4 linked regions of the Arabidopsis thaliana genome follow. The protein of the gene in region 1 interacts with the protein of each later gene in a pairwise test. Each region holds a gene or a part of one and is shown in the gene's direction. Other genes may lie near its edges. The genes, in order: TH7, AT2G28315, AT5G52050 and AT1G74370.

The links.
Region 2: the proteins of TH7 (region 1) and AT2G28315 interact in a protein complementation assay, tested with the Arabidopsis thaliana proteins (one large-scale study listed by BioGRID).
Region 3: the proteins of TH7 (region 1) and AT5G52050 interact in a protein complementation assay, tested with the Arabidopsis thaliana proteins (one large-scale study listed by BioGRID).
Region 4: the proteins of TH7 (region 1) and AT1G74370 interact in a protein complementation assay, tested with the Arabidopsis thaliana proteins (one large-scale study listed by BioGRID).

What each region holds. Positions count from the first base shown.
Region 1 is NC_003070.9:21,949,856-21,957,360, reverse strand, and holds TH7 (thioredoxin H-type 7), read left to right. Parts: upstream 1-3,880; 5' UTR 3,881-3,968; coding exon 3,969-4,103; intron 4,104-4,266; coding exon 4,267-4,389; intron 4,390-4,470; coding exon 4,471-4,602; 3' UTR 4,603-4,764; downstream 4,765-7,505. Other genes in the region: AT1G59725 (DNAJ heat shock family protein), read right to left, coding at 5,151-5,592, 6,070-6,623. UniProt on the Arabidopsis thaliana protein: Probable thiol-disulfide oxidoreductase that may be involved in the redox regulation of a number of cytosolic enzymes.
Region 2 is NC_003071.7:12,084,646-12,093,075, forward strand, and holds AT2G28315 (Nucleotide/sugar transporter family protein), read left to right. Parts: upstream 1-4,021; 5' UTR 4,022-4,250; coding exon 4,251-4,371; intron 4,372-4,487; coding exon 4,488-4,672; intron 4,673-4,752; coding exon 4,753-4,820; intron 4,821-4,908; coding exon 4,909-5,041; intron 5,042-5,124; coding exon 5,125-5,286; intron 5,287-5,480; coding exon 5,481-5,750; coding exon of another isoform or gene 5,751-5,759; exon of another isoform or gene 5,760-5,835; coding exon 5,836-5,925; 3' UTR 5,926-6,120; downstream 6,121-8,430. Other genes in the region: AT2G28310 (trimethylguanosine synthase (DUF707)), read left to right, coding at 1,128-1,147, 1,237-1,345, 1,428-1,520, 1,630-1,734, 1,832-1,915, 2,009-2,124, 2,206-2,307, 2,385-2,498 and 4 more. UniProt on the Arabidopsis thaliana protein: Nucleotide-sugar transporter that transports UDP-xylose and UMP in a strict counter-exchange mode.
Region 3 is NC_003076.8:21,134,292-21,142,787, forward strand, and holds AT5G52050 (MATE efflux family protein), read left to right. Parts: upstream 1-4,411; 5' UTR 4,412-4,641; coding exon 4,642-6,159; 3' UTR 6,160-6,585; downstream 6,586-8,496.
Region 4 is NC_003070.9:27,953,365-27,961,125, reverse strand, and holds AT1G74370 (RING/U-box superfamily protein), read left to right. Parts: upstream 1-1,725; 5' UTR 1,726-1,939; intron 1,940-2,095; 5' UTR 2,096-2,140; coding exon 2,141-2,926; 3' UTR 2,927-3,040; downstream 3,041-7,761. Other genes in the region: AT1G74385 (uncharacterized protein), read left to right, coding at 156-401; XXT5 (xyloglucan xylosyltransferase 5), read right to left, coding at 1-1,278; AT1G74360 (Leucine-rich repeat protein kinase family protein), read right to left, coding at 3,215-6,447, 6,740-6,827.

The sequences.
Region 1 (7,505 bases):
ACACTAGATTTTAAAAGAACTACAAAATCAATACTAATTAATATTTTGAAAATAACAATAACTTTTGAATAATAACTAAATCGTACAATCTATTGAACAATAATCCTTCTTAAATTATTCTTCAATAGAAAATCAAAAAGTAAATAAACATTCGTCAAGGTGGATTTATGATCAACGCAAGTGGAAAATTTTAACAGCAAGAACGAGAGGTGGACATATTATAGTGGACGCTATATTTTTGGGATTTCGAGTTGAAAAATAATGAACCATGCATGTGCACAAACTACAAAGTAAACAAAGATAATTAAATTATCAAGATTCAATAGTTCAACTGGTAACAATTTATGGCAAAATCTTGAAGTTACTCATTCGAGTAGTTTTTAGGACGAGACCATATAACATGTTTTGGTTCTGAGTCTGAGGAAATGCATGGACGTATGCCAAAACCTCCTAATTATTAGAAAAATAAACAGAATTTTAGATATAATGTAATACATATTCTACCCCCTAATTTCGTACCAAGATGATATGAACTATTTTATTGTGATTGGACCCTTCATGAAACCTTTTTCATGCTTGGAATACCACTTGATTTATAAAAAAAATATTAACAAAAAAAAAAAGAGAAATTAATTGAGCTAGCAGTCAAAAGATTTATCAAATTTTTGAATTGCCATCAAGGCATCAAGTCAATAGACTGAAAAACTAATTGTTTAATAAAAAAGAGAATGTTAAGCGATACCAAATTAATACGAAACATCCAAAGTTATCAAAAATAAATATACGTATGCATCGAAAAATTCCATGAATATGTCATGTACGTATTCTTACGTAAGCATACACGTATACAGTGACTATAGAGATACGTGAATACTTATGCATGGGTAAATATAGTATATATAAATTACGTGCGCAATAAATCGATATATACCTCATATTTTCTGAAGTTATATATATATTTTACCTCATAAGTTTTGTTTTTTTCTACCTCATAAGTTGTAGTTGTGGACCTAAGGTTTTATTCTTTTTATACGTTTTAGAATCCATGAGAAAGCGAATGTTCAATCTACACCACACCAGTTGTTTTGTTTAAACCCAAACTTGATAGTGAAATGTTGGATACGTCATAAGCCAACATAAGCCATAAGAAAGGAATTTAACCTTTGGAAAAACATAGAAAAGGAGAATGTAACCAAAAAGTGGCATTTGTGATTGTGAGATTGGGTTGAACATTGTTGAAGTTATTTAATGGGGCTTTAGTAAAGTATGGGCTAGGGCCAAACTTGGACAATATAATCCAAATACGAGAGAGCTAAGTGGTGTGAAAGATTGAACAGACGAAATATGTTGTACCTTAAAATCCACAATGTTCTTCTTCATTATTTTAGATTAGGGTTAAATTTATCTCTCGCTGTGCAGTTATTAATTCTTTTGTTACTATGATGAGATACGTGAGTTAGCAACTTGATCCTACGTCCTGTTTGTTTTCAGTGTTTTTCGATGTGTTAGCGAAGTATGCTCTAGTGTATTTAGCCTAATTAGGTTTTCAACATAAGGTGGGCTAATTATTAGGATGCGTCTAATTTTGGCCAGCGATAAATGACAGTGACCAGCAGCAAAACTTAGTTCATGCTATTGTCGTTGTTTTAAATCTACCACATTTAATATTGCTACTTCTATAATCTTTATCCCCTGGCCTCAAAATAATGTCATCCAATCCAATTTCATTCATCCACACTTGATCTTTTGCATATCAGTCTACATATAGAGTCAAACATAAATTATTGATAGTTCCTTGAAAACAATCTTGAAACTCTTCATAATTTGTTTTTCAAACAAACATTTTGTGTATACTCCACAAATGGATTTTAATCTGTACCTCATTTTTTTCTATGTTCGTCGGCGTACCTAGTTCATCATATGCACCTACTTCCTTGCTTAGACTTCTCGTGGCGGCCACATCTTGTTTTTATCATAAGATGGTCATTTAGCTAAGAAGGTTTGTGATTCAAATCACCGTATATTTCAAGGAAAAAGCACTTGCACTTGTATTTAAGAATCGTTTCTTCTGCTCTTGTATCTTTTTCACACTTTCTGTTTGCAAAAATATAACTAACTTTATTGAACTATTATACAGAACTATTTTATAAGTAACTGTAATATATTGCTTAGTAGCAGAAAAGTAAATACAGAGGTATTGAACTAATTGTGTTACTCTTCCTACATAAATTAAAAAGAGAGAAAATCAACAATATAAAATTGTATGGATACGATTTCATGGAATAAAATTCTTTAGATTGTGGAAAAACTTATATTAGAATCTTTATAGATCGAGCTAGGAATAAAGAAATATGTGGGTAGCAGAACTCATGCAACCTTTAAGAAAGTCATGTGTAATATTATCGATAAATTATGATTAAAAAATGAATAAATTCAAAGGCAAAATCTAAATTAAAAACGATTTTCTACACATGTTTAAATATCTAAACGTGATTAGTTTACTTTATGAATTACCAGTACAATAAATATTTGAGAATTCTTTTAAGTCTTAAACTACACAATTCCAAAATTCCAAATACAGTAAAAGTAAGGGAAAGAAAGTCTTAGGAAGGGTACTTACAAATTTAAGAAGTATTCCTTAATGTTTTCAGTTTTCTAAAAAACTTGTTGTATTTCTTTGATAACGCCTTCATATATATATATATATAATATATATATATGCATATTTTGATCCCAACATATATATATTTAATGTTTTATAAAGCATACTTTGATGCAACATTTCTACAAGTTTTTTTTAGTTCTTATAAAACAGTGGTGTTTCAATTTTATTAGAAATCAGACCAAAAAATGGTTTCAAATTAATATTTGCAAATCGAGATCTTAAACCCCAACAATATGTTCTAAAATTTAAGATATTCGAGCATCACCGAACTGTATTTTTGAATCAGCATTCCTAGTTCCTTGAGAATGAGAATTATAAGAGGATGATGTGAAAGTTTATGGGCAAAAAGTTAAAGATGATGTTCGTGGCTACGACGTGCATTTCTTGTCCCCCAGTATCGAATAAATTGTTAATTTCAAACTCATTTTCGACAATGATTCCTATAAGTACTGAAATGGAATAAGAAGGACCTTGAGGAAGAATTTGATGACAGCTTCTTTTTAACACAAATCAATATTCTTACACACGGACACACCAAACAACATTACAAATTTACAATGACATGCATGGTCATTTTGCAAATTTTTTTCTCGTTTTATTCTAATCTAATTTCGTTCTGTAAAGTTTTATGTAAATGTAAATTAAAGATTTCAGTAAAGACATAAGAGTATCACCATCAATTAGGAAAAAAATAAAAATGAGTTCTCATTAGAAACTCTCCTGCCATGTGACATTTTTATTTTTATAGTAATTAATAGCATTAATATTATATAGGTATTAGATCCTTGAAGTGGATGGTGCATATATTATTTAAACAAAACAAATTTTAACTACTTTTAATTTATAGCGTTGACAATAACTAATTAATCTAAACTAATAAATCAAGTACCTAGGCTACCATTTTTTAATTAGAAAATCGATCCGCCGCGGATTGTTATCCACCCACAAAAATAAAAAATTCGTTTGCAAATGTGATAGGCAAGCTAGTTCCTTGCAACCAGCTATATTTTTATGTAGTGGAGAATATTTAACAACTAACTGGAATTTTAAAAACACAAAGCGAAACTAAATTGGTATAAGCTATATATTCTTGAAAAAATAAAAAAATCAACGGCTAGAACTAAAGAAGGATAGCAAATTGAATCATATTCCTTTGCATTTACTTATTTATTTATAACCAACAAATTAAGTTCTCCGATTAAAAGCTATATAATGCTCCTCCTTGTCTCTCTTCTTTGCATATCAGTATATCACTAGCAAATAAGTGAACACCATTTCTTCATACATACACATTCCGAAGATAATGGGTTCCAATGTTTCATCTGTGCATGATGTTCATTCATCAATGGAAATTACCAGTAATGGATTTGTTGTGGAAATCGAATCAAGAAGACAATGGAAATCTCTCTTTGATTCCATGAAAGGCTCAAACAAATTGGTATACATTACTCGAAAACTACCTAAAACGTATTAAATTTTTTTAACCAAACTTATAATGTTTGTTTTAAATCTTATACTATTTGTGTTTTCTAATTTTGTTTACAAGTAAATGACATGTTTTTTCTCTTAAACTAACTGAAAAAATTATTGTGGTTTTGAAGCTAGTAATTGATTTCACAGCTGTATGGTGTGGACCTTGTAAAGCAATGGAACCTAGAGTTAGGGAGATTGCTTCAAAGTACTCAGAAGCTGTGTTTGCTAGGGTTGATGTGGATAGGCTAATGGTAATTACTCTTTTTTTTTATTACTTGAAGAAGAATCATCTTATGGTTTCAAGACTAAGCTATAATTGGTATGTATTCCAGGATGTGGCTGGGACATATAGAGCTATTACACTTCCAGCTTTTGTTTTTGTGAAGAGAGGAGAAGAGATTGATAGGGTTGTTGGAGCCAAACCTGATGAGCTCGTGAAGAAGATTGAACAACATAGGGTTTAAGTTTTTTCTTTTCCCTTACAAAAAAATGATTATTATACTTTTGAATGTCTGTTCTGAATTGATTGTTTGAAGTTGGGTTTCTGGTTTGTTGTTTAATTTCTCAAAACAATATAAATAATAATGTCAAAAATGAAAACAATTAACAAAAATGTTGTAGTTATATTTGTATGAAATCTAATCACCCCAACGTAAGCAAAACAACATAACAATGGTAATGTGAGTATGGCGACTAAAAGAACTATACCATAAAAAAAAAAAAAAAAGAGTCCCATTCCAAGTATATGTTAAAATACTAAATGGAAAAAAACAAACGTTACATAACATTTTCGAAGAGCTTGTATGAAGTTGAGAGTTACATATATAACTTATGAAAGCAGAATAAATTAGATAACAACAAAGATAGCTTTTACAACAAAAAACAATCAATTCTGCTTACTATTTCGTGATCAAGATATGAGATCAAAAACGAAAACCGATCAATTCTGTATATGTATGTACACTGAATTGACCTTTTGAATTCAAGAGCTTTCTTGAAACTAGTTGCCAATTCAGCTACCACCAAGAACTCTCTTGAGATCTGTCTTCTGTTCCGATGTTAGCCTCGAGGGGAAACATATCTCAAAGTTGATTCTTAGATCTCCTCTCTTTGAACCTTCTTTAGAGATGGGCATTCCTTCACTAGGAATCACTATCTCCTGACCCGGTTTAACGATATCCAAAACCGGGATAGTCAGATTCCTCCCGTCTAGTGTTGTTAAGCTAAGAGTGATCCCTGTTAAAGCCTCCAAAAGCGAAACTTTCTTGTCTACAATAAGATCGTTACCGTCTCTTTTGTAAACCGAATGCGGTTTCTCATCTATAACAAAGATGAGATCTGCGGGAGTAACACCGGGTTCTTGGTTTCCTTTCTCTGGAAAAGTTATCTTAGTTCCTTTCTTCCATCCTGGTGTTATATCTATCTTCAAGATCTCTTCCACTGGCTTTGACTTTCTGATATCAAAACATGAATATATATTGATCACAACCAAAAAAGCAACTAGGCTTAGAAAAATCAAACGTAGCAACAAGAAAATAATTAGGTACATCAATCATCAAACAATATCAACATCACTAGAGATAAAAACGCAATTAAACAAAGGAAAATTGTCAAAAAAACAAAAAAAAAAACCAATAATAACAACAACATTAAACAGAGAAAAATAAAGAAAACTTATCAAAGAAAAATGTCAAAAACACAACAATTTGGATAATTGTTTCGTCTTGATTACAAAATTTTACCATCAAGATAAATCACAAAAACAGAGCATATATACAGAGGATTATCCATTGACTCATACAAGAAACCACAAAATAATTGGTCAACACTTTTCCAAATATAATTTACGTAATCACGAACTACTAATATAACGAACGAAACTGAATGAAAAAAGGCGATTTCATTTAGATCATGTGTTATGAAATACTAACCCAAGACCATCAGGAACAACGCGGGAAATCTTCATCTTCCTCCTCCCACCTTTATACAACTCCTCAAGAGTACAAGCCAATTTACTCTCAATCGCCGGAGCTTTCCTGTTCACCGGAGTTTTCCTATTCGTCTGACTTCCCGCCTCCGCACTTTTAAACCTCCCGCCACCGCCGACGCCACCATCAAAGACTTTCTCAGATGCACCGAAAAACTCAGCGAAAATATCTTCAGCATCACGTGGATAATACCTAAACCCTGCATTGTAATTATTGTTGTTACCAGAAGAGTAATTATGTTGTTGAGACGACGCCGTTGCTTCTGTCGCCGTAAGTCCGTCTTCACCATATTGATCATAGATCTGACGTTTGTTAGGATCGCTTAAAACATCGTAAGCTTCGGAGATTTGTTTGAACTTAGCTTCAGCTTCTTGCTTGATTGAAGTAGGGTTTTTGTCAGGGTGCCATTTCATTGCAAGTCTTCGATACGATTTCTTTAGATCGTCTTCCGTTGCGCTTGGATTCACGTTGAGTACATTGTAGTAATCAACCCCCATTGACAAGAACAGTTCGAAATCGCTACGAAGCTTCAGAGGACGTCGTTGAGAAAGACGAAGACAGAGTAATGAGAAGAATCAAAAATGAAGAGAAAGCGTGAGGAAGGAGATAATGAAGAAGAGAGAAGTGGTGGTGTACGTGTATGTAAGAAAGGTAGAAGAAGAACATGACAAGCATAATCTTTGAATACTTTAATTGGAACCTTTATTCTGTTTCAAATATTTGTTGTTATTTTATTTGTAATCTTATGTATTATATATTATAGATACAGATACATTTATAGTTTATAGGCACAATTTTATTTTTAAATGAAAATTGAGTATCTAGAATCTTCTATTTGAATCTTTTTATTTGGCATCTCACCATTATTTCTCGTCTCTCTGTTAATTTTTGTTGTAGATTACTGGGGCTTATAATGATTTATCAAAATGTTAATCCCTTAACGTGATATTATTAGTTACATTATATTAATCTTCCATACTTTAAACTTGTTCAATTTTTCTTTAAGTTGTATCATTCTGAGTTTTATTTATTGATTTCTCTTTCGAATTGGAAGACTGTACATTGTTCATTTGTTGTTCTAAATGTTGAGCTCCTAACCTGAAATTTCTCAAACTCTCCTCTCCAATAATTACGTGTAGCTATAGGGTGTTATGTTAATGCCTTGGTTACATGACTATCTGACACTACTAATTTAGAAGCAAAACCTCAAAGCTATGTTACTAATTTAGAAGAAAATAGTATTTTAAAGAAGAAGCTAATTTGTAAATAGTATTTTAAATTTTATACAGGAAAACTAAAGTGAAGTAAATTAATTTTAATTTTCTGGTTTTCTCAAACTTATTTTAAATATTTTTAAATTATATTACACATAATAAGAG
Region 2 (8,430 bases), on another chromosome or scaffold:
AGTAAATTGAGTTTTGATCAATTCAGATTGAAGTTACAAGTCTCTTGAACCCATTTTATACCACTAAAACCAAAGTATAACGTAATACACCATTAAACAAGACTAGTAACCCCTTTTGTAAAAAGTTGATTTACTAATTCTATAAAGCTGTAAAATAGTGAATTAAACCTTTTTGTAAGAAAAATGATTTACTAATTCTATAAAGCAGGAAGCATAGAAAAAAAATTGTTAATCAATTCGTATTATACTAATGTAAAATTAAAATTGCTCATATTAAAAGGTATTTTTGTCCCTCAAAATTTACAGTAAAAAAGCCAAGTAACAATTTTTCAAAAAAATATAATTCTAAGCCCAATCATGGAGTTGCTGCATGTACATCAGAACATGGAGTCATGGACCATCTATGGGCTCAGTCCCAAACTTAGCCCATATGTTTCCTTTACAGTAATCTTATTCTTCTTATTCAACACATATTTCTTAATGATTCTATTTCCTTTGTTGTCACAAATGAAAGTAGTTAAGTTTGACTGATTACGAGATTTAGAAACAAGAAAAACCAGTTTTAATTTTCAAATCTTGTTGGCTCCAAAAGAATGTAATAAATGAGTTGTGTAATAAAAAAAAGACAGGAACAAATGTATGTAATGTCCTAATAATAGAGCTTATCTTTTGATTAATTAATCAAAAAAGTTTGGGCCTTTTAAGAATTTAAAAAACCTCCAAAAATTCGACGCAAATAGGCCTCTCCACCAAATCTCTCTCTCTTTCTCTCTGTCACACTCTTTATCACTCTCTGCTCTCACAGATCGGAGAATCTCCTCTGAGAGCTCTAATCTCTCAGCTTTCTTCACCGGCGTCTCCGGATCTAATAATCCTGTAAGGCCTGTAAGTAATCTCATTTTTATTTTCAAGATTTATTTGCGATTTCATCTCTTTTATGCTGAATTTGATTTTCGATGTAGCCTTGTTTTAGCTATCAGTATTACAATTAGTTATCACTGTGATATATATCTTCTCTGAAGTATTATGTTTGCGTTTTGAAGCTACTGCAGAAAAAAGATTGAATTTTTACAATTTGGGGTGACTCAATTTTGTTGACTAGAGTGTTTGGAGATATTTCTAACTAAATGGGAACAATGCACCGCAGGTATAATTTCCTTAACTGATAGATTGTAATACAAAAAAAAGAGTTTTTTTTCCAATATGAAGATTACTACTTAGTGGTTAGTTTTGCAGTGGTGCTCCTCGAAGAACGAATGAAAATGCAAAGGTTATTATTACTACTATTTTGGGGATAGTGTTTGGGACTTTTATTGGTATCACATTACCTTCACTTTCGTTTAAGGTATGAGTTTTGTTTTTCATAGGTCCTTTTATGTGTCCCTTTCATTTTTGCACCTGTTGAATTTTGTTTCGTATTCCTGCAGATTAACTTACCCTCGCGCCTTATATCATCTCTTGATGTAGCCATATCTGGTGACAAATCCCCTGAAGATTTCGGTTCAAGAAAGTTTCCTGAGGTATATAATAAACTTCTTGTTCGGTTCCCTTTCGTTAGCTTTTCGATTATGTTCTAGAATAGTGCCTCATTTCAGATGAAATGTATCGTTTCTGTATGTTTGATTGCAGATATATGTTCCAACTAACCCGCGTGGTGCAGAACTACTACCTCCAGGAATCGTTGTGGCGAAAACTGATTTTTACTTGCGTAGATTATGGGGAGAACCTAATGAAGTATTGACTTCTCATTCTATATTTACTTTCTCAATATATATGGTTTTATCTCTGAAGGCCATTAGAATAGTTAATGTCAAAACAATAACCTTTGCAGGATTTGAAGAAGAAGCCAAAATATCTTGTGACATTTACAGTTGGATTTGAGCAGAGGAACCATATTAATGGAGTTGTTAAGAAGGTTCTGCAATATCAGCATGTGTTTTAGCAAGTATTGTTTTATATATTCTTTGTGGATACACTCAGATTTTTTGTTTTCTTGTCATATCTTCAGTTTTCTGAAGATTTCCAAATTTTGCTCTTCCATTATGATGGCCGGACAACTGAATGGGACCAATTTGAGTGGTCGAAGAGCGCGATTCATATTAGTACAAGAAAGCAAACAAAATGGTTAGTCATCTGGTCATTTACCGGTTATTAAGTATGTTTGTCGAGTATGTTTTTATCGAAATTCTCTACTGGTTTTGGCAGGTGGTACGCGAAGAGGTTTTTGCATCCTGATGTTGTGTCAGCTTATGAGTACATATTTATATGGGATGAAGATCTTGGAGTGGAGCATTTCAATGCGGATAAGTAAGTTATTACTTGTCTGAAGTAGCAGAACAATCTTATATTTTACATTTTGTGATGGAATTCTATTAAAACTTCAGGTACATTGAGTTAGTTAAGAAGCATGGTTTAGAGATTTCTCAACCAGGCTTAGAGCCTAACAATGGACTCACATGGGAAATGACAAAGAGGAGAGGTGACCGGGAAGTCCATAAGTAAGATCTCCTTCTCTAACCATTCTTCTTTGCCTTTCTTTCAAATTTGGTTCTGAATTAAGAAATGTGTTGTTACTTACTGTTGAACAGAGATACAAAAGAGAAACCAGGATGGTGTAAAGACCCACATTTACCTCCATGTGCCGCGTAAGTCTCTCTTTGAAACGTTCTCTTTAGAGCAACTCAAGAGTGTTTAGTCATTGTCAGTACTGAGTTTTCTGAAAAAAATTCCCTCTCACAGGTTTGTTGAAATAATGGCGCCTGTATTTTCTCGAGAAGCATGGCGATGTGTGTGGCATATGATTCAGGTTCGTCGATCTGTAGATACATAGTCCTAGTCTTAGTCCATCAAAATAATGCTTGTTGTTTTGATCAGTTTGTTTATGTTTCTGATGCAGAATGATCTGGTTCATGGATGGGGTCTCGACTTTGCGCTTAGAAGATGCGTTGAAGTAAGTTGTTTTTGCCCCCCCCTTGCTTACCTTAATAACACAATATTCTCTTGACTGATGATGAAAATTTGTGTGTTTTGCTTTTGCAGCCTGCTCATGAGAAGATTGGTGTTGTGGATTCGCAATGGATAATACATAAAGTGATACCTTCACTTGGAAGTCAAGGAAAGTCAGAGAATGGGAAAGCTCCATGGCAAGGAGTGAGAGATAGATGCAAAATGGAATGGACAATGTTTCAGAACCGATTGGCTGATGCTGATAAAGAGTATCTTGGGAAGATGGTGAAAGATTAGATTTGTTTTTCTTTTTTCTTTCTATATAATTAATATATTAAAAAAACTTTTACTTTTGTATATCAAATATTTTACACTAAATTAGGTTTTCATAGGACATGTGTGAAGCCCTTTTTATTGATATTGTGTAAGATTTATACATTTTGATTGAGCTTTATTATGTTGTTTGTTACTTTCTCCATTTCAAATTCTTAGATGTTTTTAAAAAGAAATTGCTTTCACTAAACAAGAGAGAAGTGAAACATGTAAAAAAAAAAAACTTTAGAAAACAAAGGTGTAATAGAAGTGGTTGTTATTACATAATCTTTTTGACTTCTGAAAAGACAATAAGAAAACAAGACTTATAACCAGTTTCATGATTTATCTATTTCACCCAATTTCATAAATTGGCTATTTTATATTTGCTCTCAATAGGTAACGTAAATGGTAGAGAAATTAAGGAGAAGAGAAGGGTATTGGTATGGACTTTGGAGTGAGTGTGAAGCTTTACACCAAATCCAAATAATTTCAATTTTCATTTTAGTTTCTATTTTACAATATTTTGCCCAATAGAAAAAGTATGAGAAATTCAGTTTCACCTTCCTTTTTGCTTTTAGTTCAAGTCAATTGTTTGTCCATAGAAAACCATACAATGTCTCCCTCCATTGGCTGTTTCATTTCAGAGTCTTTTTTATGGTTAAGAATTTGCTATCATATCATTAGTAGAAGTCTCTTATGAGGAAAAACAAATATTAAGCAACATCATTATAGTTTTTCTCATGTATCTTGTGCGTAATTATGTAAATGTCATAATTATTAAAACATGAAATTAGGAAGAACAGAAGTTTGGTGTTAGACACCAACCATTTTTATACAAACAAATAATAAAAATCTCATTATATCACCTTTGCATTTCATCACTCATCACATTCACAATCCTTCTCTTTTTCTCACATCAATATATATCTCTCTTTCTCTCTCTTCATTTGATAGATTTGAAGATTTGAGAGGAGAGAGAGGAAGAAAAAATGGGAGAGATGAAGAGTATGCAAATGGGTGTGATTGGAGCATTGTTTCTATCAGTTGCATCTTCTGTCTCCATTGTCATTTGCAACAAAGCTTTGATGACCAATCTTGGTTTCCCTTTTGGTAATTACTAGTACTTTTTTTTTTTGCTTTGTGAGAATATATTTTGTAAGATCTTTATCAAAAACCCGATTATTCGTCTTAGGATTGATCGCTTTTTTGCTATGGTTTTGTTACAGCAACAACACTTACTAGTTGGCATTTGATGGTAACATATTGCACACTTCATGTGGCATATAAACTAAACTTCTTTGAGAATAAACCAATAGACATGAGAACTGTTGTTCTCTTTGGCCTCCTCAATGGCATTTCCATTGGTCTCCTCAATCTCAGCCTCGGCTTTAATTCCATCGGCTTCTATCAAGTATATATCTTCGACATACTTTTGATCATGTAACAATTATATGATTCACCAATTTGATGTTTGTCCATAACTAATGGCAGATGACCAAACTTGCTATCATACCATTCACTGTTCTTTTAGAAACCCTCTTCCTCAACAAGAAGTTCAGGTGAACCAAACTTGATACATAAGATTATTTTAATTTTTATTGTTTACATAAATAACTTTTTTTTGAATGACATATTTTGGTTTTGCAGCCAGAAGATAAAATTCTCATTGTTTTTGCTGCTAGTTGGGGTTGGTATAGCATCAATCACAGATCTTCAGCTCAATTTTGTTGGCTCTGTTCTATCTCTCCTTGCCATTGCCACAACTTGCGTCGGCCAAATTGTATGCTTTAAGTTTCATTAAACTAATGTTTAATAACTAATACATAGTATAATTAATATGACTATGAAAATGTTGTGGTGAAGCTAACAAACACTATCCAGAAGAGACTGAACGTGACATCAACACAACTCCTATACCAATCAGCCCCGTTCCAAGCTGCTATACTCTTCGTCTCGGGTCCTTTTGTCGACAAATACCTCACTAGCCTCAATGTTTTCTCCTTCCATTACTCTCCCATCGTCGTGGTAATTTTTTACATCGTTAATTCCATTTATTCCCAATTGGTGTTAAAATAGAATTAGAATCATTGTCCTGGATCGGTCCAGCCCATTTTCGCATGGCCCCTTAGAGCCGTGCCCATGTTGAGCCATGATTGTATCATAACGTCCCTAGATAGATACTAAAATTTTGTGAAATTTGACAATGATGAATCATGCAGGGGTTCATAACGTTGTCGTGTTTGATAGCGGTTTCGGTTAACTTCAGTACGTTTTTAGTGATTGGAAAGACATCTCCGGTGACATACCAAGTCTTGGGACATCTCAAAACGTGTTTGGTGCTCGCATTTGGTTACACTCTCCTTCACGATCCCTTCACTCCTCGTAATATCGCAGGAATACTCATCGCTGTCCTCGGGATGCTTCTCTACTCCTACTTCTGCTCAGTTGCTTCTAAATCCAAACAAGCCTCCTCCGATTCCACTTTTCTTGTACGTTAACCACACAAAAAGAAAAGATAGAAATAATGAGTGTTGAAAGTTTCTAAGTACTTTGGTTTTATTCCTTTTTTGACAGGGGAAAGATAGAGATACGACGCCGCTTTTGGGACAAGAAAATGAGAACCATCATGAAGCCAAGAAATTAGACAAGCATTCTCCAGTATGAAATAGTACAATAACTCTTTCTTTATGTTTCGACTCTATAATTGTGTCCCTTTTTTTTGTTCATTCATTGATAATGTTTTTGTAATTGAGAAAAAATTGAAATAGCCAATGGGCATTTTCTCTTCTTTTTTATATTTACATTTCCTATTTCATTTCCTCCTTTTTGGATCTTACAAGGATTATAAAATTATTTTCTCTCGTACGTGTTCTTTGGTTTATGTTAGTGTTCTTCAAATGATCAAATGATTGTTTTCTATTAAGAAGATAAAATAAAATAGTATAGTACTAAATAGTGTTTAAAATACAATTAGTTTCAAAACGGTTTTGGACTTTTCGGTGATTAAAATGTGATAAATTATGAAGTTTTTGAGTTTATGGAAGAAAAATGATGGGCGATTTGACATATGCATATAATTATTATCGGTTTTTAGGATAACAGGAACCAGAAATTTCTAATAATTGAAATGCTTTATGCTCTTATTTTTCCTTTCCATATAAAAAATTTAAATGCAATTTATAACATATATACATATAGATATGTATATTGTTAAATATTACATGTGCGTTACGTCTAACGTTTACGAGAATTCATCCTCTGTTCACATGCTACGTTGTCGTTGTTGTTTTATCTTTCCATGAATAGTATATGTATAACATTTTTATGTTATGGTCTTATGGACCTACAAAGAGAATTGGCAATGAAACTTTCCCTTAAAAGCGAATAATTTTTTTAATTAAAAACTAGTGGTTGTGAGACTTGCAAGTTACGAATGACAAAAAAAAAAAAATAATAATAATAAATGAGAAATGGTCTTCAATCTTCATCAATAGGCCAACTTGTTTGCAACAACCAACAATCCAACTAAAAATCATTTTAAACAAATTATATGATGATGACTTATTCCTACAAATTACTACAGTTTTGGCCTTTTGTCCAACGATGTTGTGATACGTTTCTACATATTTCTCAATCGATCAACGCTAATGCTTATTTTTCAAGATTACTATTTTGTCTCCATGTGTTTTCAGAGACTATGCCTTGTCTTTGTTGGTTGGTTTCACTTTCTTTAGCCATTTTTTTTTTTAAGTCTCCACTCATATTGAATTAGTTAATTTAGGAGTTGGCAAAATAAAGTAAAACTATGGCTTGCATTTTAGTATAAGTAGTTTCTGTATGTGAATGTGATTAAGCTCCCAAGAGTTTTGTCTTACCTCTTGTTGTGATATGTTTATTTTGATTTTCTACCCAATAACATATCTTGTAAAGCGTTTATAACAAAGTAGTGTTTGATGGGTACAAACCACCCAGATGAGCTATATGACTTTTCATTTGTTTGTTTTTGAGCCACTGAGTGACATATAATCTAAAATTGTGCCACTTTCCCATTAAAACCATATGTTTTCAAGCATAATATCTTAATATCAGTATTTTAAAATTAAAAGCAAGATACTATTTTATCCACTTTGGAGAAGATAGATATTTGGAAAATTTGATAAGAATACTAATAAGAGTCTGATGCAATTTGCACATTAACCATTGATAAATAAGACACAACAAGCTCACTTCCGAGAAAAGAGTACAAAAATTAATATTACTCTAGTATAGTTACTTTAATACTTCAATGTTGTATATGATCAATGTACCACGCTAAATCTATTAAATATGTGATTTATACAAAAATTTACATGTGAACTATTTTTTAAAAAACTTTATCTACCCAGAGATTAGTTTTGAACTCCTCCACAGGTGGTGAGGATTTATCTTCAATTAACAGGAAAAAAAAAGTTTATCATCATTCACTCTAATAAATTTATTTCTCCAGTTTTCCATCTTCATTTTTTGAAAGTAATATATATTAAAACTTGTAAATTTTAATTTTATAAAATATTTATATTTTACAGTTTATAATTGTTATTAAGTAACGCTATACCACGAATCCATGAGACAATTGTTAAAATTTTTAAGTTTTAACCCCTATTAAAACAGCATATTAAACATATTTCAAAATTTTATAAATATTGATTCAAATACATCTACCATATAACCCAATTCCAAAATAAAACCCGTTCTGTAATTTCTTTACCCGTCCCGTGGTTTTTTTAAAAATAGTAATTTTTAAAATTTAAGAATTATTTTTTATATATAAAAGTTTTGCAAATTGTATCATTCTCTAATACATTTATATTTTATAGTTTAATTTTATATATAATAACATTATACATACCACATAACATTTTTGGTTTTATATAACCTTTTCTAAATTAGGATGATTTGATATGTTTAATATTAGTGGTCTTAAAATATAATAAATTAAAGATTTAATCCGTATTGAAATTGTGGATTAATTATATTTTACTTTTTTATTAATGTTGATTCAAAAACCCGTCCCTCCAAATCCGTCTTGCCAAAAAGCCATTTATTTTATTAATATTAATTTTATTAATGACATGACTCTGAATTATAATCTAAACATTTTATCTAATAACAAATGAGTGCACCATATTT
Region 3 (8,496 bases), on another chromosome or scaffold:
CTATTGACGTTTTCACTTAAAATGATGCTCCAAAAGTTTTATACGTTGGATGCCTAAAACACCAGTTTCACGTGCTTTAATTCAAGGTTAAACGAACGGACAAAACCATAGTAAGTAACATCAAATTCATGGCAATTGTCAGTGGTTAGATAATGCACCTAGCTAGGAACCAATATGGTAGTAATACTTTTTGAAAAAAAAATGTATTATCTTAGTACTATTTTATGTGATGGGTAACAAAAAATGAGGAAGTTAGGCAGAAACATTACTATAAAGGATAGGTGTAGTAAAAGTGTGGTTAACTTATTAGGCTAAAACTACTAGAAGAAGTAAAGAAAAAGAGTGTGTCTCAATTGTTGAGACATGAGAGTCTAGAAACGTAACTCCCACACACATTATCTTATCGATCACACTAACAAAATTCAAGCACTGAACGTAATCTTAACGTACTAATTCTATCTTCAATGGATCTTGACTTGATTGTTTTGATTGAGACATTAACTCTTAAGCTTTGTTTCTTCCCAACAAGTTTAATAGTGTTCATGAAACATGCAAGGTTAACGTCAACAAATCGTCCATAAATACTACAAAATGTCTAATAAAAGAATGATATAGCTTTGCAAGTCAAATTGAATTTGAAAGGGCTTTCACTGTATGTTTCTCTGCTTCAAATTGGAATTGAATAATTTGTCGACTTACTTAGATTGAATAGAGTATATGATAAAGTAAAATAAAGAATTAATATGGAATATTAAAACAAGGAGTGTGACGGTCCCAATTAAACATGGACCGTTGGATGTGTAAGCCGTAAAATGATGATGAATCCCATTTGGCTTCAACTCCGCTTGTTGTTGCTTTTCACCCAACAAGTCGCTTCATTTCTTTTGACTTTCACAACCTAATTACGGCTAAAAAGATTAAAGACAAACTTTTGTTTTGTCTCTTTTTAATATTCTTTATGTATAACAAAATAGTAGGAATCTATTATTGTGATTATCTTCGGAAAAAGGAAGCAAAAGAGTATATCACTTGTCATAGACTCATAGATCACAAAGTTTACAACTAATAATATTTCATTAAATATTGTCTTTGCTGGAAAGATAGATTGAGTAAGAAAATGATAAGATGGAAAAAGGGAAACGAGAAGTTGGTTACGAATTTATCTCTTAGAATCCAATGAATTTAGTTGATATTCATTGACACATCATCTCGTACGTGTTACTATTGAAATTCTTTCTTGTTTTACATTTAGATATTGAAATGTTATCAAACTATAATATTCGTTTTTACTAAAATCTTTGTCGTTTTACTAAAAGTCAAATGTTGATGATTCGTTTTCAACCAAATGAAGAAATGTTATAAGTGAAAGGAATCGATATTATCCTTCATCTTTCAACTTTAAATAATCCTACACACTGTTTAAATATTGAATTTGGACATAGTAAAATCTATAATTTAACCTAGAGCACAAAGTAACCAATACGTTTTACTACTAGATTTATCATCATGATCAGAGCAACACGTGTTATAAGGAGTAAGGTTCTTCATTACAAAACATCCAGAATGAGATGAGATCTACCGAAAGGCGTTTTAAATATTTGACTCAATCCACTTTAAGAAAAACATCATAAAAACAGCAGAAATAGACAAATAAATGTATTAATTCATGCTTGTATTAATATTCTTTTGTCAACATATGGACAGCCGTATAGTCCCGTAGTAACTACAAGAGAAAACAATTATATAGGACAAAATGGTACGGCAGAAAATTTTGCACGACGAGTTGCAATCGTCGACAAGATAAACATGACCACCTCCCTTTTCAATTCCAAAAGTATGATATGAGTATCTAAAGGTTAAAATACGTATATATATTTTTTATTATACTTTAGTTTCTATCGATTAGAATATAGATGTCAGTAAACGGTATTATTGTTTGTTGTGATATATATGAGTTTTTTTTCCGACTACACATTAGTTTAAAAGATCACTGATAATCCAAAGTAAAATCCAACTTGTAAAATAACGTGTCAATTTTTTTTTGAAGTGTTCACATATAATTGGATTAAAAGTGTATACGTCTCTAAATGATAATTTATTCGACTAAAAATGATGGGCCATGTAAGAATTTAGCAAAACTAGTAAACCTGAAAGGTATCATTACAATTTACAAATGAACCAATATAAACACGAGAGACCGATGTAAAGTCTTTGTCATCAAACTTATATTTGTAACAAAAGAAAAAAAATCTGTTCAGGTAAGGACAAAGTAGATTTGCAAAACATCACAACTAGAAAAGAGAATTCAAATAGGAAAATGAGAATGTGTATGGGCATACGTTAAGTCCCTTTTCTTCAATGTGTTATGCAAGGTACAAATTCAATTCAATGAACTGAAATATTAATACAATGAATTAGACTCAATATATTCTGTAACTTTCTCACTCTTTCACGCACTAGTTAAGGAATTAATGGCTTACTTAAAAAATAAACAATCACATAATGGTAATTTAATGTACCTTGCTTCATGAGGAGTTAACCATTCTGATTGTTTACGCACGGTGCTGATGATCAATTTCGCAATGTATAGATACTTGTATACAAAAATCAAAGATATTACCAGAATTTTTTTCTTAAATTATGTTTATATCATTTACCTTTGTTTTTTTTTAAAACAAAATTTCAATAGAGGTTTTGTCGATTAATATCAAAAAGAAATAATTTAAACTTGAATGTATTATACAGTAGAAACATCATTAAATAGCATTCAAAATGAATAAAATTTGTAACAGTTAGTTCTTGTGTTAGTTTATGTATAGAAATTTTAGCGAAGTATAGTTGTTGACCCAAAAAAAATGTAGGAACATATATAGTTTTCTTTGGTCCCAAAACGAGTTTATTTTTTGTTCTTCAGTGTTGAACACTATTTTGCTCGAACATGTCTGGTCAACGTCCGACCAGCCAATTCCACTTCATAGTTTGCATATTAACGAACTTCCATCTTTTTGCTGATTACAGCTTTCATTATACCGTTTAGATTTTTCTTTTTTTGCCTAAATAAAAAAATATGACCCTAAACATTCGTAATTAATAGAAAACATTAAATAAGTACGATACAAAAGACTGAATCTCTATAATAATAGATTGAGACCATATTCTTGTGAGATAAATAAAAGATTGAGACCATATTCTTGTGACAATTGGTATACAATTAGGTTACAAATATTCTAATCCAAATTTAATTTCGAGAACATAATCGTGTGAGTAACGATAAACAATTTCATTTTGTTTACAAAGATATATGATATATTGCACTTTTTAAAATCTAATATGCTTACTTTTTTGAGCTGTCATTAATCCCCAAACTCCACTTTGGGATTTTTTTAAAAAGTCTAATTCAACGCGTGGGGCACACCGTGTGTAAACTTCGACTTTGAAAAGTTATAAACAGAAAATGATGTTTTTTAAAAAAACAGGGAAAAAAAGAGAAGTTTCTATTTGAAATAGGTTCAAAACCCACTGGCCAAGTACTTTGTTAGTGGCATGTTTATCATGAGAATATATTTGACCCGTCCCTTGTTTCAGTTTTGCTATTACGTTCCGTGTCAGTTAATTTAAAACTCTAATCATATCTTATTTGATTAAAGAATATAGTGATGATGAAAAGTTATATTTTGTGTACTTGAATGTTTGAGTTGGGCCTCGTCTATCATATGGCAATATCTCCTTTAAGTGTGTGAACGTAAATTACCAATTTCAAGGTCCTCCTCTTAACGTAAATTATCCCAGCTCTCAGGGTTTTTCAGCAAGGGAATAATATAACAATCTAATTAGTCAAAAATTGGATCAAGTGCTAGTAAATTATGCTTGGTTTACTAATCTTTCCTCATTCTTTTTTCCCCATTTTGATTTATGAGGATCACGTTTAATGTAAGGTTTAAATTTCTCAAACCAGAGCTGGTTGTCATCGTTTAAATGAATCTATATGCATGTATTCTATTCCATTAGAAATTATACACACGTAGTTAACTGTAATTAGCTATAGTTAAATCCGTACACACCGTTTTTTCCAGTTTGAATCAGTATAGTGATACATGATATAAGTATATAACATGCGTATAATCAACATACATGATTTAGACAAAATATATTATTATTCTAATTTTTGTCATATAGATTTTGATTCACATTATAAACTGTATATATTGACAAGAAAAAAAAAACATTTGACAAAAGAAGAAAATAATAAACATTTTTTGAAATCATGATTTTGAGGTGATAGTCTATTTATACTAATACTAATGATACTATGTGTCAATGCATCACTAATACATCTTCAGATTGAGTAGAAACCGTGTATATGGATTTAACTCTAGTTAAACAACAAGAACATACAAATTTGAATGTAATAAGCGTGTAACCATTTGACTTGAAAATAAAATACATATGACCAAATTGAAAATAATAATATTAAAATCCAGTGCAACGAAAAAAATAATATGTTAAAACAATAAAACCCACTCACTACTTTCTCTATATAAAGCCAAATGCTTCAACCAATCTTCTTCACACCTACAAATCTTCTTCTTCTCTCTCTCTCCCTCTTCCTCTGTCACACAGATATTGACAAAAACAAAAAGAATGAGTCAATCAAATCGTGTCAGAGACGAAGTTACATTACCTTTACTCCAAAAAACCTCTCATCTGAAAAATCACTCCTCTGTTCTCTCTGTTTTCCTAAATGAAGCAATCTCAATCTGCAAAATCTCTTACCCATTGGTCCTCACTGGTCTCTTCCTCTACGTTCGCTCCTTCGTCTCTCTGTCTTTCCTCGGTGGTCTCGGTGACGCCACTCTCGCCGGTGGCTCCCTCGCCGCCGCATTTGCAAACATCACCGGATACTCTCTTTTCTCCGGTTTAACCATGGGCGTTGAGTCTATCTGTTCACAAGCCTTTGGAGCCAGACGCTATAACTACGTCTGCGCGAGTGTCAAGAGAGGAATCATCCTCCTTCTCGTCACTTCTCTCCCTGTTACACTTCTTTGGATGAATATGGAGAAGATTCTTCTAATCTTGAAACAGGACAAGAAGCTCGCGTCCGAAGCGCACATCTTTTTGCTTTACTCTGTTCCAGATCTTGTCGCTCAATCTTTCTTACACCCATTAAGAGTTTATCTTCGGACTCAGTCAAAGACTCTTCCTTTATCAATCTGTACAGTGATCGCGAGTTTTCTTCACTTGCCAATCACGTTCTTCCTTGTAAGTTACCTCGGTTTGGGGATTAAAGGAATCGCTTTGAGTGGTGTTGTGTCTAATTTCAACCTTGTCGCTTTCCTCTTTCTCTACATCTGTTTCTTCGAAGACAAGCTAAGTGTTAATGAGGACGAGAAGATAACAGAGGAGACATGTGAAGATAGTGTGAGAGAATGGAAGAAACTACTCTGTCTTGCGATACCAAGTTGTATATCGGTTTGTCTTGAGTGGTGGTGCTATGAGATTATGATTTTGCTTTGTGGGTTTCTCTTAGACCCTAAAGCAAGTGTTGCTTCAATGGGAATTCTCATCCAAATCACTTCTCTTGTGTACATTTTCCCTCATTCCTTGAGTTTAGGAGTCTCCACCCGGGTCGGAAACGAGCTTGGTTCTAACCAGCCAAAAAGAGCGAGAAGAGCAGCCATTGTTGGACTTGGTCTCAGCATCGCCCTAGGGTTTACGGCTTTCGCGTTTACTGTCTCGGTTAGAAACACATGGGCGATGTTTTTCACTGATGACAAAGAAATCATGAAGTTGACTGCCATGGCTCTGCCAATCGTTGGTCTATGTGAGCTCGGGAACTGCCCGCAAACTACGGGATGCGGTGTTCTCAGAGGCTCCGCGAGGCCGAAGATCGGAGCTAATATTAATGGAGTGGCGTTTTACGCGGTTGGCATTCCGGTTGGAGCAGTTTTGGCGTTTTGGTTTGGGTTTGGATTTAAGGGACTTTGGCTTGGGATGCTTGCGGCGCAGATCACGTGTGTGATTGGTATGATGGCGGCGACGTGTAGGACCGATTGGGAACTTGAGGCGGAAAGGGCTAAGGTGCTCACAACGGCGGTGGATTGTGGCAGTAGTGACGACGACGCCAAGGAGGATATGGAGGCTGGGATGGTTGATAAGTAGGGAGGAATGAGTCATGAGGAGGTCTTTAACAAAAACAAATTGACTTTGTTTTGAATTAGTTGATAACTTTTTTCTTTTATTGAGAAGAGATTCGTTGGAGGATTAATGTAAATTTTGTAGTGTAATGATAACACAATCTAGAGATTCGTCGTTGTATTCAAGGTTTTTAAATTCATAAGGTCAAATTTTGCTCAAATCGCTTAAACCTTTCTTTATTCGACAGAATTCAGTTACATTGTATGTTTTGTTTAGTGTAACGATTTTTTTGGACGCAGAATAAATCTTGAGAAAATAAATAAACTAACCATTGACCTTACTGAAGAAAATCAATAACCATGGGATTGTGGGTGTCTTTGTTAATTCAATCAATATAACAAACTAAAGTAGCACATGCGGACGAAATGTAAAAATAATGGGGGATTTTTTTTTTTAATATGCATAAATAATTATATAACTATATTTAAATAACTGCAAATAAGGTGTGTACAAGGAATTAAATTCACATATGTATTATAACCATAGTCGACAATTTCAAATATACATGTTTGATTAATTAGCTTCTAGTGATGCTTCGAGGCAAAGTATATCCCTCTATGTGATAGATCATTTACACATCAATTTCTTCCGTGGTAAAATAAAATAGATAAAACCTTTGCGATTATTAAAAAAGCCATAACTATGGGATCATGGTTAGTTTGTGTTTTCTTTTACTTTGGAAACTCCTGATTTAAATAGAAAAACATTTAACATAAAAGAAAAAGCCTTTATTTACACACAGAAGTTTAGCCAATCACTTACTTCTTTCCAAATGCTGCTCACAAAAATAAGTTTTTTCATATTTTCATTAGGATAACGTCAAAAATATCATTTATTTATTTAATAAATCTTTTATCGCTAATTTTATTTTCTATTTTTTATCTTTTTAATATCGTTTATCGTTACATATAATAACTTTAGGCAAATATATATTTAACATTAATTATTTTTTTGCACATGTTTAAGCTATTCGCCAAACTAACATGTCTTCACTAATATTGGCATATATAATTGTCAAACTGTTATAATTCTAGAAGTTGTTAGTTCGAATGACATTTGAGAAGAGACTATATAAAATGTTCTGGAGATGGTATATTGTTCCAAAGGATATACGGATATAAAGCCATAACTTTTTTTAGACATTAAAAACAAGAATAAAAAATTTGTCAAACCATTGGTCCGCTGGTTTCACTCCATCACCAAATGACAAATGATTCAAGTGATATCATGTGTCCAAACTTTAGGTTAACACAGAACAATGAGAAATCTTTAACCGAATTCTAAACTCATGATACATGAACTTGTCTCCAATTCCACATTATGCATCATAAAATGGTTTGTTAATCGTTATCCTACAAAACAACCTAAAAGCTATAAACACTTGAAAAATTTTAAAAAAGTAAAGACTTTTTTGACTCATAAAAGGACTAATACCAAATTTCATAGTTCCAATTTTGAACAAAAAAACACAAAAAACACATGAGAAATAATAACTTAAAAAATCTAAGAACATATGTTGCCTCATAAAAAGACCGATACAAACGTTAGAAACCGCCAAACCGGTAACATATTGTACATCAGCTACCAGATCGTTGATTAAGAATTAAGATACCGGTATAGTCGATGTAGCCTGCCTATACAGACTCATAATCGACCTGAACCCCTTATTATGTGCAATCTAAAACAAGTGTTTTAAATCAAAAGACTAACTACAACAATTTTTTTAATCTAATAATACATTTGTTGTTTGCTATTATAATATAAGTATTTGATTAATAAAATACGAAATAGAGATTCGTATCCACTAAAACTAGTAATATAAGTTGTGGGAATATCCTCCCTTTTAAGTATTTCAAAGGGCACTACAAATTTTGTCTTTACAAAACAACCAAAGTGGATAAATAACTCCATGAGGCACTTCAAAAGTTTCCATACATTAGTTTATTTGTACTTGTTTCTTACGAAATCCCTGTCTTCATGGGAGATTCACTTATGTGATATAGTTTCATTTCTAATTAAGATATTCATTATTGTTTGCAGTACCCTATAAACTAATCAAATGATGATTAAAATTCATTAAAAAAAAAAAAAAGAGTGATTAAACAAGAATGAAACGTGGGTTATGATCCTTAGAAATGAACTACATTATGGATTAGTGTATTAATTTATCTATTTCTTAGATATAAACTAACCAAGGAATTACACAGCACCTTTTTTCTTAACGTGGCAGCTTACAAGAACTGAGAAAGATTTGGTTAGGAGACACATGCCAAGAATCACTCATGTTGGAGTTTTAATAAT
Region 4 (7,761 bases), 6.0 Mb from region 1:
CTTGGGGCTCAACAATCCCCTATGGCTAAAACCATACAGCTTGAGCACTTGATTGTCTGCAAAATTAAAGGCCCTCTCCATACTCTTCAAGCACCTCTCGACTGCATAATCAGCATAGCTACCACACGGTTTACACCCAACGAAATGGGTCACAAATGGCCATCTCTCATCACCCAATCCCGGGTGATACTTCTCTATCATCTCCTCATACCTATCAACCAAACCTTCCCAAAACCCGTGCAAATAGTATTGATTCTCCACAAACACTTTCTCCATCCATGTATCTTTCTGAGAAAGCAGGAGATAGATCAATGCTGACTGATCATCTGCCTCAAAAGCTGGTCTACCTTTCAGATAAGCCGTCAATACCTTCCCGGCCTCATCACGAATTGGCCCTTTAGGTCCCATAGGCGCCCAAGCATCTAACAAATCCAACGACCACTGACAATTCCTCAGCAGAAAACTACCTGTGTTCAAAGCAATCCACGACTTCTGATCGAACAACAAGTCCGGATAACCATGAATCACTAGATTATGCTTCTGATACCTAGCCAAAGGGATCTGAAACAGTATATCAGTGAACAAAGCATCACTATCCATCCACCAGATCCACTCAACTTCTGGATGAGACAACATCAACCTCCTAATCATTGGTAATTTTGCCCAATAGCCAGCGAGTTCCTTATCCAAATGAGCCATGTTATACACAATCTCAATTCCATGAAGCCTACAATAATCAATCTTGTTCTTCACAGATTTCAAAAGATAATGATCACCAATGGGGTTATCACAAGGCTTAGGAGGAGATCCTGTTAAAAGCAAGATTCGAGCTTTGCCATTGACAGTACTAGGAAACTCAGGATTCTGATTCAACCATACCTTACGTTGACTATCCCAATCCGTGATCTTAGGACCTAGAACATACGTCGCATTGGGATTCATATCACCTTCCTGAGGCTCATCCAAGTCGGTTGGATCCGAATCAGATCGGATCTCAGCTAGAATCCGGTTAGTCTCCTCAATGATGTTCTGGTTAACTGCATCGGCGCTTGAGCTTCCTAGGTTACCAACACCGATAGTGCCACGTAAGACGAGAATTGTGACGAAACCACAGAGAATTGTGATCTTGATGTTGTTAAACGTCTTCTGCATCTGTCTACCTCGAGGTAACAAACCACCACGACCACCTCTTCCTCCACCGTTGGTTAACGTCGTCGTCGGAAGTCCTCCGCCGCTTCCGGATGGTCTTTTATGCGCCGGCGAACCATCTTGACCCATTTTCTTCTTCAACGTCTCTCTCTATAGATTTCACTTACAGGTTTGCGACCATCAACTTTGTTTTCCTCAGATCAGTCTGAGTATGTTTCTGTCTCTCCGTACTTACTTATTCACGGATCTGAGAAAAAGTTCAGATCTTTAGCATGATTCCGATCGGGGAAAGAGAAAGAGAAAGATTTGTCGATCTGAAGAACCCTAATTTAAAAATGGAATTAAACCCAATAATGCGGAAACATTGTCATTACTTAAAAATATATTGTCGGAGGAAAATGCTTCGTTCGATCCAGAAAGCGCACAAGGAGAAGAAGAAACGCGTACAGCTCACTCTCACCGACAACTACTATTTTACTTTAACCGATTTCGGTAATAGAAAATTACGGAACTAAACCGGTAGTTTAATTTTGGCGGTATAGTGAAACGATGCGTTTTGGTAGTTAAACCTGAAAACAGAAACGGATAAGGTGAGGAAATCGGTGGGGGCGGCGGAAACATTGAAAGGCGTTTCAGAGTCACCATGTTTTACGACGCGTGTCTCTTTTTCAGCCGGTTTTCTTCTCGCTGGTTACATCAGAGCTTCGGAGATATTATATAACTCAACGACGTAGCTGTTGCATTTTTTGTTTTTGCAATGATCTTCATCTTCATGACCGGATAAACTCTTGTAAGTGTATTTCGTTTTCTGTAATTCTGTTAATGATTTCTTGGGTTTCATCAAGTTCGTTACTTTTTGTATGTTCTCGGTCCAATCTTTGGGGGTTGGATTGTAAATCTCATATCTGATTATGTAGTGTATGTGTGTGTGATTTTCTTGTTGCAGAGAGAAAGATTCAAAGTGATTATCTTTGTGGATCCCTCCATTGCTATGTGGAATTTAGCTTCAAAATCGATCAGAGAAGGTTTTATATCGAAGGGAGAAGAAGCTGCTACAAAACCAAGAAGAGCTACTTTAGATAGATCAGGAGATGGAAGAAAGACAACAAAGGAAGAAAAATTGGAGTGTCCCATTTGCTGGGAATCATTCAACGTTGTTGAGAATGTACCTTATGTCTTATGGTGTGGTCATACAATCTGCAAGTACTGTCTCTTAGGGCTTCAACGTGCCATTGTCATCAAATCCTCTGCTTTACCATTCCAGCTTCCCTTCTTCGTTGCTTGCCCTTGGTGCAATATTCTCTCTTTAAGGCTGGTTTGCAATGGAACCATCAGATTTCCTTCCAAGAACTTTTACCTTCTGTGGATGGTAGAAAGCATGAATGGCTCCAGATCGGAGGCACCCAGCGACAACAAAAGGGTTGCTTCAGGGCAGAGAGACTTGAGAAATAGGTGTGATGGAGTGAGTAATACCGCCTTGGGTGATGAAGGGTTGCTGGACAATCGCAGCTGGTGGAATGGTGTGACCAGAGGATTCTTCAGAACTGGGAGGCTCCATGACTCGGTACGTAAGTCAATGGCTCTTGTTGCTCATTTGTTGGCTAAGTTTCCTCTGGTAGTCATATTCCTGTTGATGGCTTTATATGCAATCCCTGTGAGTGCTGCAGTTCTCGGGGTTTATTTCTTTGTTACGTTTGCTTTGGCTGTCCCGTCGTTTCTCGTCCTTTATTTTGCCTTCCCGAGCTTAAACTGGCTGATCAGAGAGATTGCAACCTGACTCATTGTACTGTTTCTTTCTTCCTGTATGTTTCCTGACTTGTAAGAAACACGAGATAGAGCCAACGTTGTTTACACTCAATATAGACAAGAAGAAGAGAAGATCTTTATTTTCAGATTGTGTCTCTGTACATTGCGAACAAAACTACCTTTCTCTATCCCTATCTGTCTGATAACAATGAGGTTCTGTGTACAAGAAGAATCAGAAACAATGAAACGAAAAATGGTGAAGAAGAAAACTCTGTTGTTCTGTATAATAAATCTGAAAGAAGAAAAGAAAGAAAGATTTTTACATTTCTATGTAACCTTGTGAAGATAAGCCATTGAAGAGCTCTGCTTTACCGGATATCTTAACCAACATAGCTAGAACTTCTTTCATGTTTGGTCTTGCCTGAGGATGATCAGCTGTACACTTCACACCAATCTTTAGTAGCTCAGTCATTTGCTCAGCTCCGTTCCCTGGTTTGGTCCCTGACAGGGTTATTGGTGAACCTTTGGCTGTCATGTTACCTGTCATTACACGTCTTGCCCATTCGACCAAACACTCTTCTCCTCCATCAACAGCTCTTCTACCCGTCGCGAGTTCCATGGTCAATACTCCGTAGCTGTAAACATCTCCTCTTGTGGTGGCTTGCCAAGTTTGTCCATACTCGGGAGCTACATACCCGATTGTGCCTGCAATCACTGTGCTCACATGGCTATCTCCTACATTTAAGAGTCTTGCTAGTCCAAAATCCGTCACTCTCGCATTCCCGTGTTTATCCAAAAGAACGTTACTGGCTTTGACGTCTCTGTGAACGATGGAAGGGTAGCATTCGTGGTGTAAAAACACTAATCCCCTTGCTACATCTGTGGCTATATCAATACGTTTCTTCCATTGAAGTTTTGTTTTGTCTGTGATGAGCTCCTCTAAGCTCCCGCCTCCCATGTATTCGTGCACCAAGATTTTCTCTGACCCATCTAGGCACCATCCATATAGCCTCACGAGGTTCGGATGTGCCCAATCTCCAAATGCGTTGGCACTTAGAACTTCCATTTCAGCTCTGAACTCTTTCTCTGCTTCTGTGCCTTCCCTCTGAAGCTTCTTGACTGCAACTTCTCTTCCATCAGGCAATACGCCTCTGTAAACAGTTCCATAGCCTCCCCTACCTACCACTCTCTCCTCAGAGAAGTTACTGGTTGCTTTCAGAATGTCAGCGTATGTGAAAGTTGATTTGTCTAAGCGAATGACCTTGATTTTTCCTGATAGCCATGGCGATGATCCACCTGAACTGGAAGTCATGTCATGTCTGGTTTTCGACCCATCTAAGAGATCGATTTCTGCTTCCCTTGAAGCCTTAACAACCATAAGTACAATACCTGATACCACTAAACATGCAATAAACGCCAATGCAAGAGCCAAGGAAATCCAAATCAAAAGAAGAGTTCTTGGCCTGTTTCCTAGGACTTGGTTGGAAATCTTCCTCGTGTTGTTCCCTGATTGGTTGAAGAAACTAGGAAACCGCAGCAGCGGATTTCCAAGAAAGGAGTCTTTGTCAAAGGTTGCTACTTGTCCTGTTGTTGGTATCGCGCCAGAAATGAAAGGGTTATATGAGATGTTGAACTTACTCAGCTCATTCAAGTCATTCAAACTCGTTGGAAAGTTTCCAGAGAAATTGTTGAAAGACAGATCAAGATTCTGCAGGCACTTCAGATTTCCGATTTCTTGAGGAATCTCGCCCGAGAAATTGTTTCGAGTAAGGTTGAGGAATGCAAGAGGCAATTGTCCTATCTCTGGAGGCAGTTTCCCCTCAAACTCATTGAAACCCAAATGTAGTGTGCTCAGCCTGTCCATCTGAGAGATGCTTGCAGGAATCTCACCTGAAAACTTATTTCCACTGAGCTGAAGATAGGCTGAAATTTTAAGCGTGCGTACCGTGGAACCAGCAGAACAGACAGGAAAGAGACCGTACCCTTTGAGAACATGGTCCCATAGGCTTCTGCAACTCTTTTTGGTTAGAATTGCGTATACAAAGTTGAACGGAGGGAACTCCGCTGGAATCCATCTCTTCATCGCCAAGCATTCACCAGAACCAGCAATTATCTTGTCTTTGTTTTGCCTATTCACTTCAAATGTTGGAGAAGGATTACTCCCCATTCTAGTCAATTCAGGATGGAATCTACCAGAGAGCTGGTTGTTTGCCACGTTAAACCACAAAAGGCTTGTGCAGTTGCCAATCTCTCGAGGGATTTCTCCTGATAGAGAGTTGTTTGCAAGCATTAGCCACAAAAGAGAGGTCAATTTCCCAAATGAAGCTGGTATCGAACCGGTCAGCTTGTTAAAGGAGAGATCAAGTGCTTGAAGCCCCGGCATGTTCCCATACTCCTGTGGTATATCGCCACTGAAGTTATTATAAGCAAGAATCAAGAACTTCAAACTCTGTATCTGAGAAATTTCAGTAGGTAACTGTCCCGAGAAATTGTTGTAGCCCAAATCTAGCCTTGAAAGATTGGGTAACTTGAGGATGTTGGAAGAATTGATGCCTCCTACGTATGAGTTTGCATGCAAGACTAGATACTTTACTTGCGTGAATCTCCCAAAGATTTCTTGAATGTCTCCTCCAAATTTGTTTCTGCTCAAATCCAGAAACACCAAGTTGGTCAAGTTCAGGAGAGTTTCCGGTATGTCTCGAGAAAATGTATTATTCCCCAAGTACAAACCTTTGAGAGAGGATATGGAACCAATCTCAGCTGGAATGTTCCCTGTGAACTTGTTTCCCCAAAGATTCAGTACATTTAGATTCTGGCAATTCGAAACTTGGCCTGGAAATTCCCCACCAAAAGCGTTCCCAGACAAATCCAACATTTGCAAAGTACAGTTCCCCCTGAACATTGAAGCAGAGATATTCCCGGAGAGATGATTATCAGCAACTGAAAACTCGACCAGCCTCCCAAAACCAGTCCACACTTCTCCACTGAATCTATTGGAACTGAAGTCAACATACTTGAGATTCCTACACCCGTTGAAGATGTCATCGATTCTTCCAGTAAAGTTGTTGGTCGACAGATTTGCAACAACCAAACTGTTGCAGAACAATGGGAAGCTAGACTGAATATCACCCGTAATCCTATTCAACGAAAGATCAAGAACCTCAAGATTTGACAACCCGGGTAAACTTAGCTCTCCTTCAAGGATATTATGAGAAAGATTCAGATGCTTTAAGTTGTGACAACGGCTCAAGTCATCTGGAATCTCCCCTTCGATCGTATTCCTTGATAAATCGAGATATGTGAGCTCCGTTAAAGCGGAGAAGTTCTTGAATAGAGGACCTGAAATGGTGGAATCAGTTAGATTGATCCCTGTAACTCTACTTCTCTGAGGTGTACATATGATTCCAGGCCATTGACACACAACATCTTGGTTCTCCATTTTCCATTCCGTGTATAGTCCTCGGTTCTGTGGGTTCCGTGATTCAAGGTACGATTTTAGGCTTAACAAGACTTCTCTATCACTGTCCAGAGAATCTCCAGCCACTGCTATAGCTGCCATAGAAGAAAAACATCAAAAAACTCAGCTAAAATACTCATCAACGACATCAAACAGAGTAAAAATTAAAACTTTGCGATTCATTTACGTACAATGTAAAACCTTGAATTGATGAAAGCAATGAAACCCCCAAAAAATCACGTCAAATTTTAAAACCCTGAACCCATTTGAAGGAAACGTGAAAGAAACAGAAACCCAAAACTCATACTCAAGAAGAGAAGACATTACAATTCCCAAAAACTCTCAACGAAACTCAAATTCAAACAACAGAAGAAGAGAAGAAATTACCAGTGATGAAAAAGAAGAGTAAGAAACAAAGAAAGCAAAGTGACTGAGAATCATCATCCGTCATGATCACACGCGTCACCATAGTCATCGTCCTCCTCCACTTGGTCTTCTTGGTTTGCTTCTTTACTGTCCTCTGCGATGTTCCTCGAGAAGATGTGGAAATTATCGGGGAAGAAGATGAATTTCATGGAAATTCATGTGTGGAAAGAGATTTGAGAAAAAGAGAAGTTGGAAAAAAACACAAAGCAGCCCGCACGTAGACCAAGCAACTGAAAAACTTTGAACATCACACAGATTTATTCCTATTTATTAGACTTTTCCTCAAACACAAAAATTAATTACAAAAAGGTGAAATTGAGTCATCATATTATGCTAATTTTGACCCGTATAAACGTATATATTACGTTACTAGTCTTTATCAAAAATTTCTTAAGGAAAAATACCGCATTTGTTGAATATTTCAAAAATTGAACTTTGAAGTCGTTTAGAACAAAAACAAAATTGATGTTTTATCGACTAGATGAGTCTCATATGACTAAAACTAAACCATAACTCATTTTAGTTCTCCTTAGAAAAAGTAAACAATTACAAATATTGTTTTTGATTCACCATTAGCTTTTCTTTTAATTTGTACGGTACCACTTGCGCACTCAAGAACTTATCCTAGTGGGTAACATTTAATAAATTTTGACAGTTTGAACTTATATATATTGAAGTATGTGTGAGTTTAGAAATTTTAATCGTGTGATTTGGTTAAAAAAACCATAAAATTAGATTACTTTATTTAAGTTAACTCGCGAGGGCAACAATTAGGTGAGCAGTTGTGACATCTAAGTTGACCGGTCCAGAGTAGTTTGACTTCGTGTCAGAGTTGGTAAGTTTATGATAATAGATAAAACTTTTGCATAATGTAAATCTAAAAATTACGTTACATACAATATATGGTGAATGTGACTTATGTAGCATTAAAAGATATATTTGCTTCTCCAGAGATTTAAAAGTGTTATTTAACTAAGTTTTAG